2 linked regions of the Drosophila melanogaster genome follow. The protein of the gene in region 2 purifies or fractionates together with the protein of the main gene of each other region. This does not show direct contact. Each region holds a gene or a part of one and is shown on either strand. Other genes may lie near its edges.

What was found. The genes of interacting proteins can lie anywhere in the genome.
Region 1: the proteins of Cdk4 (region 2) and CycD purify together in Drosophila melanogaster (affinity purification with western blotting, with the first as the bait; 2 studies listed by BioGRID). This does not show direct contact.

What each region holds. Positions count from the first base shown.
Region 1 is NC_004354.4:15,906,297-15,911,592, reverse strand, and holds CycD (cyclin D), read left to right. Parts: upstream 1-1,916; 5' UTR 1,917-2,483; coding exon 2,484-3,056; intron 3,057-3,274; coding exon 3,275-3,496; intron 3,497-3,559; coding exon 3,560-3,734; intron 3,735-3,793; coding exon 3,794-3,939; intron 3,940-4,001; coding exon 4,002-4,319; 3' UTR 4,320-4,771; downstream 4,772-5,296.
Region 2 is NT_033778.4:16,577,684-16,585,486, forward strand, and holds Cdk4 (Cyclin-dependent kinase 4), read left to right. Parts: upstream 1-1,786; 5' UTR 1,787-1,850; intron 1,851-1,880; exon of another isoform or gene 1,881-2,243; intron 2,244-2,422; exon of another isoform or gene 2,423-3,010; intron 3,011-3,149; exon of another isoform or gene 3,150-3,158; 5' UTR 3,159-3,229; coding exon 3,230-3,332; intron 3,333-4,312; exon of another isoform or gene 4,313-5,187; coding exon 5,188-5,353; exon of another isoform or gene 5,354-5,686; intron 5,687-6,468; coding exon 6,469-6,604; intron 6,605-6,666; coding exon 6,667-6,995; intron 6,996-7,060; coding exon 7,061-7,196; intron 7,197-7,268; coding exon 7,269-7,352; 3' UTR 7,353-7,765; downstream 7,766-7,803.

The sequences.
Region 1 (5,296 bases), on a different chromosome or scaffold from region 2:
CAATAGATTTTACTCTATTCATCTTATTTGTAAGCACTTGGTTACTTCTGGTCTTTGTTATTTACTTATTGTGTCACTGGGTTTTTTATGATTTACATAAATGTTTATTGTAAGTTAATAAATTTAAATGCCTGGCTTGTACGTCCTCAACATTTTTCACATTACGCTGTCTCACTAAACAGAAGGTTTATTGTGACTTTGTAGGTCCAGGACCGACTCCGTGAATGGATCAAATATCATGCGGCACGGCATTCATGGCACTACTTCATTCAATGTATATCCTATTATAAAGTTGCGTGGGCTTGGCACTGCGTTTGGCATTTCCAGAATGTGGTATAAAGGTGTTTATAACGTCCTGCGAAGTCCCCTCGCAAATGAATGCGATATTTGGGACTTTGTTGGCATTTATGTATGTATGTCATGAGCACCACACACGCGAACATATGCATATTAAACACAGTATTATTAAACAAAAAGAACCTCCTGAAACTTTGACACTTTTCGATTCCAATTAGCAAGTGGCGGGCGAGAACAATTGAATCAGCTAATTGTTCCACACACATTTGTGTGGGTAATTTACGTGAATGAAAAATTATTTTCGTACAGCACGTCTCTTGTCTTCTTCGGGAATATAACGAATATAAAATTTCAGGGGATTACAGCATCCCTCTGACGGAAAGCGAAGTCGGCGGACGCGAGTGTTCCACTCAACTCTCGTGTGCTGTTTCAAAGTTTTCTCTGAATCCTTAAGCTTTTTCTGGGAAGCGAGCTTTTGTCTGTGTGCCGAGAGTGAGGGTAAATTAATTTGCAACAACTAAGTTAGCAAAATGCGAACCCAATTAAGGATTGTATCATTGAAAGCATTCTCCACGCTGCAGTTTTTCCTAAAAAACAACAAAAAACTGCAGCACCGAAATTAGGACAATGGACATGGAAGTCCATTTTAATCTCGATGTGTACATATATCGGTACATCATTTCTCGGAAGGGATCCACAGGTTACTTTTGTTTATCATTAACCTGGCATTCCTAAGTCGCGAAAGCTTTTTACCCTTTTATCAATATCTTATTAATTATTAAACAAAGCAGCAAAGATTATATCTTTTTTTTACAATTGCTTTTAGAATTTTTTTAGTGAAATTATTTTAGGTTTCTTACATGTCTTACTGTTTGTCATCTAAAACTGTTTAAGTACAACCCTAAAGAAAATAACAGCAGTTCAATGCTTTTTGTAAGCGGTACAGGATCTTTAAGTGCAGCATTCATTTATTTACGACTCTTTCGAACAACCTGCCATTTAATCAACAGGTTCCGGCCATTTAAACGGAATTTAATAAGGGTGTTTTGATCACGATTCAACCTAGTAGGGTGATGCCAGTGAGTTTTGCATTACTGACCATTTTGTCGTGGACCACGATCGTTAAATGTATGACATGCCGAAAGATCGACTGTCAGTACCATCCTTACATGAATGCAGGGTGGCAACGCCCTAGCATATTTTAGTATTTTTGATTTTGCTGGAGTAATTGGAACACTTGAGTGATGTGAAATTCACATCAAGAGTAAGTTCGTAAGATCGTATAACAAAAAGCTTATTTAAGAAAAAAAGTAGTGCAATTAGAAGAACTTTGTTTTTATTATAAGGGTAAGACCCTTTTATAGTCCATCAAACCCATTGATGGATTATAAGTTTTTAATGTTCTAATAACAACCCTAAGTGAAACATATTTCACAAGCAACAAGTTGGAAACGCAATGAGGAGGTTCCCCTTTTCAACGTATTTCGCTTGCCTTTCATTGCAAAGGATAGTACTATACTAATAACCGATGAAGATCGATATGTTTTACTGATCGCAGTGAGCAAGAGATATAACTCCGATGACGGCATGCTGAACTAGTTTTTTTCTGCCATAAGGTGTAACTATCTGGTTCACATAAATGCTTTGTCCACGCCGGTTAAGTGGCAAACGTGTGCAACTTCGAGTATACTTTTTTAATAGTTAATTTACATTACTCCATGAAGTGCTGTGCCGTTTGTATATAACCAGAATTCCGAGAATAGGCGTAAGTGAAAACTTTTGTTCTCGAGCTGATCGTACATAGCCATGCATGTACATGTACATAAGTACATAGTGTGAAATGAACGAGTTATTTCTGAGCAGGTCGAAAAAATATGTAAATAATGTAATGTGCATATGAATAAGTCAAGGTATTAGGGTTATATGCTATACTCTAGTGCTCCCACAGGACTAAACACATATGCCCGCAGTGTGCCCATACTTGAGCAAATACTTGAATTAAATGTGAAAAGAAGGTTGCAACATACATATGTATGTATGTACTTATGTACGATCATTTCCTATTGTACGCAGTGTTCCCATATCGGAGTTACCCAAAGTTCCTGATAAATCGGCACACATAAATGGCTTGAGAGTGCGGCGATCCATAGAATCCATAGCTTTAAACGGAACGTATGGCCGATATAATGGATCTTTTATGCTCGGAAATCATAGTCTACGAATCAGATCCATCATTGTATCGTTTGAACAAACGACAGCAGCAAATGTCCTCACCGGCGATCATTCGGGATCAATCATCGATATGTTCATCCTTGGGGGACGCGGAATCCGATTCCCATCCGGATGCCCAGAACAATGCCGTAGTGTGCAATATGAAGGAGCTGGTGTATATATACGCGTCCGTGGACTCGGCTGCGAAAAATCCAGAACAATTGGAGCCGCCTCCGCCACCTCCACCACCGCCGCCACCACCACCGACAGCGACCCAATCAATCCAAAGTTATCCGCGTTACATCAGCCAGGAGCCACCGACGTCACATTGCCAACGACTCGACGAACGCCTGACCACAACAGCCGATCCACCCGCAACCGACAACGTGAACACTGCCATCGGGGATCCCACATTGTATTCGGATCGGTGTCTGGAGAATTTCCTCAAGGTCGAGGAGAAGCACCACAAAATTCCCGACACGTACTTTAGCATCCAGAAGGATATTACGCCACCGATGCGCAAAATTGTCGCCGAATGGATGATGGAAGTGAGTAATTAAACGAAATGTAGATACAGCATCCAAATCATATCAAGCTAGCCGACTGTGATATACGCATTATTTATAATCTGTTAGAAAATATTACCAAATAGATGGAAGTTTCCAAGAACTTCATTAATTAGTGTTTGTTTTAGTAGTCCTTATCGCACACCCATTACAATATTTTGACTACCCTTTTCGTTCATTAATTGAATACATGTTCACAGGTGTGTGCCGAGGAAAATTGCCAGGAAGAGGTCGTATTACTGGCATTAAATTACATGGATCGATTTCTTTCGAGCAAATCAGTACGCAAGACCCAGCTACAAATTTTGGCCGCAGCTTGCCTCTTACTGGCTTCAAAGCTCCGTGAACCCAGCTGTCGTGCTCTTTCGGTGGATCTACTCGTTGTTTACACGGACAACAGCATCTACAAGGATGATTTGATTGTAAGTACCTTTCTCGTAATACAATACCTTTCGGTGAACATGCGGTTTCATTTCATTCCCAAGAAATGGGAGCTGTATGTGCTAAGTCGCTTGGGCTGGGACCTCTCATCTGTGACTCCCTTGGACTTCCTTGAGCTTCTGATGATGCGCCTGCCGATAGGCAGCAAAAACTTTCCGGACATAAACATTGGCAAAGTGCGGGGACATGCTCAGGCATTTATATCGTTGGCAGCAAAAGGTAAGCCATATACAAAACAGTCCAACTTAAGTACTGACTTCCCACCCCTTCCTTTGAAGAACATAAGTTTGCCAAGTTCTCGGCCAGCACCATAGCTGCATCGAGCATAGCTGCGTCAATGAATGGCCTAAAGTGGCATCTGCGATCGGGACACAATCTACACTTCCTTTTGAGTCTGATGACCGATCTAACCAGCGTGGAGCAAGTGAGTATGGCAAGGGAGCAGTGTTGTTATGTACCACCACTCAATTGATTTTAAATGCACAGGCTCAGGTGCGAGATTGTATGCTGCACATGGAGGACATCTTTAAGGAGCACAGTCGGAATCTAGAGCCATTTCTAGTGAATATTGACCCAAAAGAAATGTCAACATTATACTACAAGAGGCGCTTCCAAATACATCAATCGCAGCATCTCTCGCAAATCTCAATTAGACCCTTGCCGCTACCGAAAGCTCCTGCCGAGTGCGTGGAGCAACACCAGCAGCAGCACAACTTTGGGTCCGCAGCGCCACATCGGACGCACACGTGCAAGATGCAGGCGCAGGCTCAGGCTCAAAACGAGATACAAGACGTTACATTTTGAGGTGTCAAATGATAGTTATGCATACATGATAGTTATGTCAGGCTTAAGTTGAAATTATATATAGGATCCAAATAGTCCGATCACTATAGGATTGGCCAATATCACACTATTTACATTTGAATCGATGTATTTTATATGTACGCAACTATTTTTTACCAAACTATGGGTTATTATTTTTAGCTATCCTAAATATTTTGTATAAAATAGTTTTAAATAATCATCATGAAACTTTGAAATGGATGAAACATAAAAACGAGACTGATTGTAAGCAGCAAAGCAACATTTTTTTTTTGTATATAAGCTTTTCGAAATCCTACACAGATAACCAAAAAAGAACGAACTATTAAATGCAATTTTTTTAAAAACCATCCAACATAAAGAGAAAAACAATATGTTAAAGTTAACTTTGGATAACAATTATATAAGTTGGCAAATAAATGATAGAAAAAAGCAATTTCTTCTCTGCCCTCTATGATGTATGTATATTTTCGTATAATTTACTTTCAGATAAATCGCATTAGCTTACCAAACGAATCCAAGTAGTTAAAGGCAATGCGAATAATTTAATTTTTCTTTATTTTCTTATTAACAAACGTCTATAAACAAGAATCGTTAAAGACCATAACCTTAACACACACATAATATTTATCATTGAATAGGTTTTTGTATAATTTCTTGCGGACATTGCGTTGCTAAATAATATTTGTTCGCATATAATTCATTGCTCTGAGGATAGTTTAGTTCATACAAGTTTTTAGAGTGAGTACATAGTTCGATTTTTTTTTTACCATCAATGTAGAAGCATTGTAACACTGCAATTAACGATTTTCCTTTTAGATATTTCTTCGGTTTTTGTTTTGAGCTTTAAAAAAATACTGGCTTTATTGCATTCCTGCACTCGTCCGCCTCCTGCACTGCGATTCGAAATATCATATATGTACGGATATATGTAATACCATCTGGAAACGAAAACTATG
Region 2 (7,803 bases):
TCAACACCCCCGAATTAAAAAAAGAATAAAAATAGAGAAGAAAAAACGGGCTCAGAACGCGCGATTCATTTGGACTCTTTGTTTGGCTTGGCATTTTCTTGCGTATTTTTAGCCAGAACCAAGCCATTTTGACCATAATATTTGTACAATAAATTTCATTTAATTAGTTTTTTGGCTCGCAGCCGGTTTGAAACGCAATAAGATTAATCGCCAGCGCCGATAAGCGCCTTCGTCACAGGCCGACAAAATGTCAGAGAGTGAAAAACAAAATATAAATGCTTATCAGCGACTTGCGTCTATTTGCCGATCGGTGAATTTCAGATTCGACCGGATCCTAACGGTATACCATATAATACCATTATTCCGGCAACGTTCCAGACACACAAACTAATGCAAATTAAATGGCTAATCCGTTGGCAGCTTCCTCGGAAATTATTAGTTGTCAGGCGGTTGAAAGACAAAGCCGATTATGATACCCAGAAATCCTGATAGCACACTCATTCATTATTCATTCATGAAAAGTTTTTTCTGTGAAATCAGTTTGGCTTGGAATCGGAAATGCATATGTTCTAATTGGGTGAGGTATGCTACACGGCTGGGCGTTGACTTCCGCGAAGGAATACGACTCATCCAGGTGCTAAGTGGGCCAAGATGGGCTGCAGCAATTGAATCACAAATGCCAATCGCCGACTGGCGCCCACCAAAGGTGAGAAAGGTGGGCACGTTCCGGCTGTCTGGGAAAGTGATATTTTCATTTCCCAACAAAACACATCCATCCTGACCAATCGCATTCGCATTCGCATTCGCTGTTTGCCCTTTCACTTTGAGCCGGAAAGGCGTACGTCATGCATAATTTAGGTGCCTGATACCCGCTGGTGGTAATTAGCACTCGGCTGACTTCGTCACTGTGCTCTAATTTGATTTCGTTACTAATTAATCGCGCTTTTTCCCCAAAAAAAAACATGGAAATTTTCGCCAATCCAATGGGTAACATTTGTGATAGGCGGTTTGTTAAATGCGTTTATTGGTTTCACAATGTATTTGCAACATTGTTTTTAAATTTACGCGCCCCACTGCGAATGCCTTGATTCGATTTCGAAATTGGCAGTGCGGCCAGATCGTTGGAAATCGGTAAGCAAGCTTTCACTCAAAAAAATGTTGAGCGACTTTTGGCATTCAACTCATGTCAATAAATTATACATTCAACGAGTGACTTTATCGCCGGATTGAGTTACAAATTGAATTATGCCGCCAATCTAGATCATTAAGACATTTTATTCCAGAATTTTGTATTATTTTGCAGGGTTATAAAAATTTAAGTTTACCAAATCCTAAAAATGCTAAAAGTCAATGACACACATGTTTGGAGTTAACTAATTATGGCCGACCAATTGTAGTTGACCACGACAGTTTTAAAATTTTCACATTTTATCGTATGTAATAAAAATTTTTTTCAAATATTATTTTCATTATGTTTATTATTATTTATTTATTTGTAATTTATATATGTTACATATATAAATGCCTGAAATTCACATTGCAAAAAAAATAAATTTGGGCATTATTACAAGTTGAAAATATCAAATTCCCAGAAATCAATAACATTAGTATAACACAATAACACTTACGTTATCGAATTGGAATAACATTCAATAACGATCGCTGGCAGCAATTTCGAAATTAACCGTTTAACCGATTGGACGTATACAGCACAATGTTAGCGGCCGTCTGTTTGCTAACAGCGGGCGATAACAGGCGAAGAGAAGCCACTGTTAAGTAGACCATCTAAAACAGTTTCCAGAGCTGTGCCAACAACAAAACACAAAATCACTCAACTCTTACGAATATTGGTAAAAATTTATAAGACGTTTTAAAAACTTAATTAAAGTGCGACTGCCGGCAACTGAACCGTGTTCGCACCGAAAATTCGCGTCGCGTTGCTCCTATCGTGCGGTTCTAGCTGGATTATCAACAAATGCCAAAATTTCGTCAAAGCGAATAAAAATCATATATGTATACATAATACCTGCGCCTGTGTGTGTGTACCACTCGGTGTGTGCGTTTGTGTTTGTGTATGTGTGTGTGTGTAAGACCGATCTCTCAAGCGAAATCACTTAGCGGCGTTGTGTGTGTGTTCGAGTCTTCGCAAATAAAAACCACATTTTCTTAATATTTAACTAATATTTCGCACAACGGTTGAAAGAAAAACGACAACATTGGCATTGAAGTTCACCGAAAAAAAAGTAAAGTGAAGCCGAAATTTCCTTATCAGTAGAGCGCAAATGGTGAGCGAGAGAGGGATGACGAGGGAGAGAGAGGGGGCGAAAACTGGTGCAACAATAACTATGTATTTTAGACCCAAATATACAGCTCGTAATACCTCGTAATACCTTTCACAATTCTGGACACTCTCTTTCTACCCAGTTTTGTGACTGTGTCGCTTATTATTGTTGTTTCGCTTGTCTCGCGATTAGAATTAATTGACAAATGCCAGCAACAAAATACATTGTATTCGGGTTCTTTTTTGCGGTATATGTATATTTTTCGGGCAAAAAAAATGCACTGACAGAAAAGTGGTAGCACTTTAGATAGGAGAGAATAGTGGACACACGCCAACTAACGCGACAGTAGATAACCAGTACAGCGTTCACAGTCAAGCTCGAATAAGAGCAACAGGATGCACGAACGAAGCCGCAAAACGGAGACGGCGAGCAGCGTCACTGAATAACATGAATAAGTCATAACTAGTGTTGGCCTTTGCCGTTCTGCGATTGGTTAGACATAAAAACGGAGTATGTACGAAAACATTAAACGCGGTTCAACGACCGCCGCCATCTACATACATACATACATATGTAGTTGTCCATGTATATGTTTCGGTTTTCGGTTCTCGGAGATAGAAAAGCATAGCGGAGCATATAGCCAGACTTCTTCCATTAGCGCACCTGTCACACCAGTCTTTATCGCCAGTTTTGGGGTTATCTAGAAAAGGCAACAGGTATGAAATCAGGTAAGGCCCTCCCTCTCTCTCTCACGCACTCGCACTCTCCCTCTCACGCTACGATCTGTGTGAACTATCGCGTGGGGACACAAGGACATATCGATACGTGACATGCAGACGATCGATAACCAAAAAAAAAACACCCCTTCACTTCCAGCTGGTGCAACTAACGGTTTCGATTACCCGGAATATTAGAGGAATACGCAAATAACCGTAAAATCCAGCTAAATGTCATATGTACGCCAGCTGAAGCGGCAGAAAATGTCCCAGGCGAAGAAGTTCGGCGATGGCGATCCGTTCAACTACCAGGAGCTCAACATCATCGGCGAAGGTGAGCGACTTGGGTGGGATTTAATAATGGGACGCGGTTGCTTTGTTGTTGGGATAGGTCCGGCTCTCTTCGCACGAGAGGCTTTCGTTTGCTGGTCGCTTGTTGTTAACGTTTGATTACTTTAATTTGCTTACAAAGTCTGGGCTATTTGGTTTCACTACTGTTTACGATCAATCGGGAGCTCCGACATTGTTATGAAGCTGAAATGACAAGTGCACTTGGAGGAATGTTGTTGTTTTTTTACCCCTTTACTAATTAAGCGTGGAAATTCCGCGAAAAGGGGAAATATTGGATGGAAAACTCCCCTGTATTGGATCCTACACCTTCTACCTGCATACTTTTAGGTCCACTCTCGGCGGACTACGTGTTTCTGCCGATCTCACATCCATGATGATCTGACAAGTGGCTCATGGTCTTTTTTTTTTGTGGTCAGTAATTACGATCGCTTGTTTGCTGTAAATAAAGCCCAAATCAATTACGTCACCGATCATGCCGATCATCATGGGCAGGCGAATGCTAATGATGGATATTGTTACTGGGTGTTGTGCGAGTCATGGGTCCGCACAATTTCATCTGTTATACAACGCACACACACACACATACACTCAAACTTTCGGCTGTCTGCCTTTCTGTGCACATTCATTCAATTATTATTCGCTTTCGCTCAGTCTCATTTTTGCTACTTTGTACTATGGAAAATTTGACCACTTTTTGTGGCCAAACTAACTCCAAACTTTTTTTGCATTGCCTTACACTAGCCCATATTTTTAATGATATATAATATATATTTTTTAGTTTGCAGATAGTCATTCAATTAACTTTTTTGCATTGCCTAACAGTAGTCACCGTTGTAACTAAATGCATGCATTTAATATTACATATATTAATCGGTTTTCGGCCAGATAAAGTGCGTAAATTTCCCATAGTGCTTTGCTTTGTTGTTTTCTTTGCGCAATTTTTCGAGTTTATTTTGCTTGTATATTTGTATATTTTTTTGACAATTCCAATTGGACAGACCAGTTGCCGACGTTCAAAAACGAGTCGAGCTCACGGCCTTGTACTTGAATGTAGCAACAGCGGCACAGTTCATAAGCCAGGTGGTCTAGAGACGGTGACAAAGGGACGGAAAACCAAATTCACCCCCCCCCCCCCTCAAGTTGCGTTTATTTCGGGTGTATCAGTACATATCTGCTGTTTCTGTATGTCAGTGTCAACCGAAATAGCCGGTGCCTTCTAGCTTTTCTACCCCCCACGCATGTCCGTCCGTCCGTCCGTTTGTCCATTTGTCCATTTGTCCGTACGGGTGATAAATTTTCGGTGACATTTCTCTGGCATGCCAGAATTTGATTCTGATTGGGAATTTTGCTCGTCTCTTGTCGTTTTTCTTTGCCCGTGAACATGTAGAAATTAAGATCACGTTGTACCTGAGACAGCAACAGTTTCATGAGGAAATTAGTCTGAATTTCGTGCAATATTTTGACTAATTTTGAGTGCATATAATATAGTCTCTAATATATGCAATTATTGCATGCATTGCAATACGATTCTTTTGGGCTAAATGCATTCATTGTCTATTCATTCAATCATTATAAACAGTTAGTTCATCGAACAAGGCAAATAAATCAAGTCACTTCAATCGTAAGGGCTATAAATACGATGTTGAATATGAAAAGTATAAATACACCATAATGATATGAAGAAGCTAAGTGGCACCTTCTCTCTTTCTCTCGCCTCTCTGATTTCTGCCATTTATCTTATCGGCACAGCTGACTTTATTTTATTCTATTTTCGGCTGTCTTTCGCATTTATTTCCCGTTGTAAGCATTTTGATGTACAATTTCGATCCACTTTTCAGGTGCCTATGGAACGGTTTACAGAGCCCGCGATGTGATCACCGGCAACATAGTGGCGCTGAAGAAGGTTAGGATATCGCTGAACGAGAACGGTGTGCCAATGTCCACGCTGCGGGAGATTTCGCTGCTGAAGCAGCTGAATGCCAGCAATCATGCGAATATTGTCAAGTGAGTATGGGTGATTTACACGCTGCCACAAGGGCAGTGGGCTTCTAAATGGCCTTGGAGTTGAGTACTTTATGTAGAACTATAGCTAGCTAGCTGTATATGAGGGGTGTTATCACCCGCCATTGGGGCCAAGTGGCGGCGCCAAAGCTATTTGCCAAACTCATTTGTAAAGAGCCGCATCGCAATGTCAGCGCGCTTGTGTTTATCTGTGCATGCTATAGCCGTAATATTCCGACGATTTGCCCCCGGCGAACGCCCTCGCTTCTGACATATGCCAGTCAAGTCAAGTAAGTCTGAAGCAAGTCGATCCGCTCCCGCTGATAACTGATCACTGCAGTTCGCAAATGTGGGCGATTTTGTATTGGCATTATGTTTGTTTGCGGCGGCCGTTAGGAATTTGAATTAACAGAGCAGCTCGATAACCACATGTTGCTGTCGCGCGTTATCGATGTGCGCACTCGCTTGCACTTTAGCAGCGTGAGAGCGCGACGCGAATACAGTACAAAGAGATCGACAGAGAGAGAGAGAGAGAGAGAGATCTCGCACAACAGAATGTTAAGTTAAGTTGCAAATGGCTACAAAGTGCAGCTGTTATTTTGTTTGAAGCCAAAAGTGTTGGAGGGGTACAAGAAATAAATCAATGGCAAATTAAGTTTCTTGTATTTATCTGTATTTTTAAAAACCCAATGTGCCAGTTGCTAAAGCAAGTGTAACAGTAGAAGGTTTCAATAAAACTGTGCCTTTTAAGTAATTCAAAGGCAATGTTAAAATAACTGCCCGAACTGATTCTAACATAATGCTAACATAACATAATGCTAATCTGCTCTGCTAACGTTTACGTTTTGCCTCTGTCCGAAAACGATCTGTAGCCTCTCTTACTGGACGCTCTCTTTGGCTCTTTGATCGCCATGTGCGCATGTGTTTGTCTCGAGTGCTTCGCGTAGTTCCCGAAACGAACAAAGTATGGCCAATGGCGTATTGGCGCACCACAACCAGCAGCATTTTATGACACATTTTTTTTATATCTCTCAACATTTCCCCCATACATCGCTCTCTGTCGCACACAAAATCAAACAATTTGTACATACAAAGATTGCACTTCCCCTCTCTTTCAGACTGTACGAAGTATGCCAGTTTCTGGAGCGCGACGGCCAATTGCTGATTCTGTTGGTTTTCGAACATGTGGAGCAGGATCTTTCGGATCTTATAGACAGACTTCCCAAATCGGGCATGTCGCCGCCCACAATTCAGGTGGGTCTCAAAATGATATCAAAATTTCAGAAAATGGTATATGAAATTATTTCCTATTGCAGCGCTTGTCAAGGGAACTACTGACCGGTGTGGACTTCTTACACTCACACCGTATCATCCATCGGGATCTTAAGCCGCAAAACCTGCTGGTCTCCTCGCAGGGCCACCTCAAGATCGCCGACTTTGGCTTGGCCAAGACCTACGGTTCGGAGATGAAGCTCACCTCCGTGGTGGTCACCTTGTGGTACCGCGCACCCGAGGTTCTGCTCGCCCAGCCCTACAACAGCACCGTGGACATCTGGAGTGCCGCCTGCATCATCTTCGAGATGTTCAATCGGCGCGCCCTATTCCCGGGCACCTCCGAAAAGAATCAGCTGGACCGCATCTTCGAGTGAGTGCACAAATACTGCCATTGAAATCGGTGATTTTTAATTACATTTATGCGATTTCACGCAGACTGACCGGTAGACCCACCGAGCAACAGTGGCCACAGACCATTTCCGTGGCCCTGGAACACTTTCCCCAGCGGCATCCAAAGAGACCAAAAGACTTTTGCCCACACCTGTGCAAGTACGCCGATGATCTGTTGAATGTGAGTATGAAAATGAAGATACATATCTTGTTGCATGGTCTAGACTAACGCATACCCTATGTTTGCCCGCAGAAAATGCTTTCCTACGACCTCCACCTGCGACCATCCGCCTTGGCCTGTTTGGAGCACGATTACTTTCAGCAGGAACCCCTATAGTCTCGATGCCCAGAAGGATAATGGATAATGGATTATGGATTATGGATTATGGATTATGGATGTGGAAGTGAAAGTGGCAGTGGACTGATCATTGCGGCCGCGCTTCGTTCTTGTTACCAATGTTCCTTTAAGTGTAGTGAAGCATTTTGTTTATTTTTTCGCGACAGTCCAGTTATTGTGTCCGGGGATACGGATCCGGAATAAAGAATACCTTAATTTGTTTGTAGTCGTAAGTTAAGTGTGAATACTACTGCCGATCAACTATCTGATGACCATTACATGTGAAACGATTCTCGAGGGCGTTTGAAGGCCCTCCAAATCGAAATGTGATACACAAAGTTCAGGAATGCATTATACAATTTCAAAATTTTGTACAACAATCATTTATATATGCAATTATATATACAGCATACAATAAGATGGGTCTCATGTCTTTTCTGCAATTTATTTC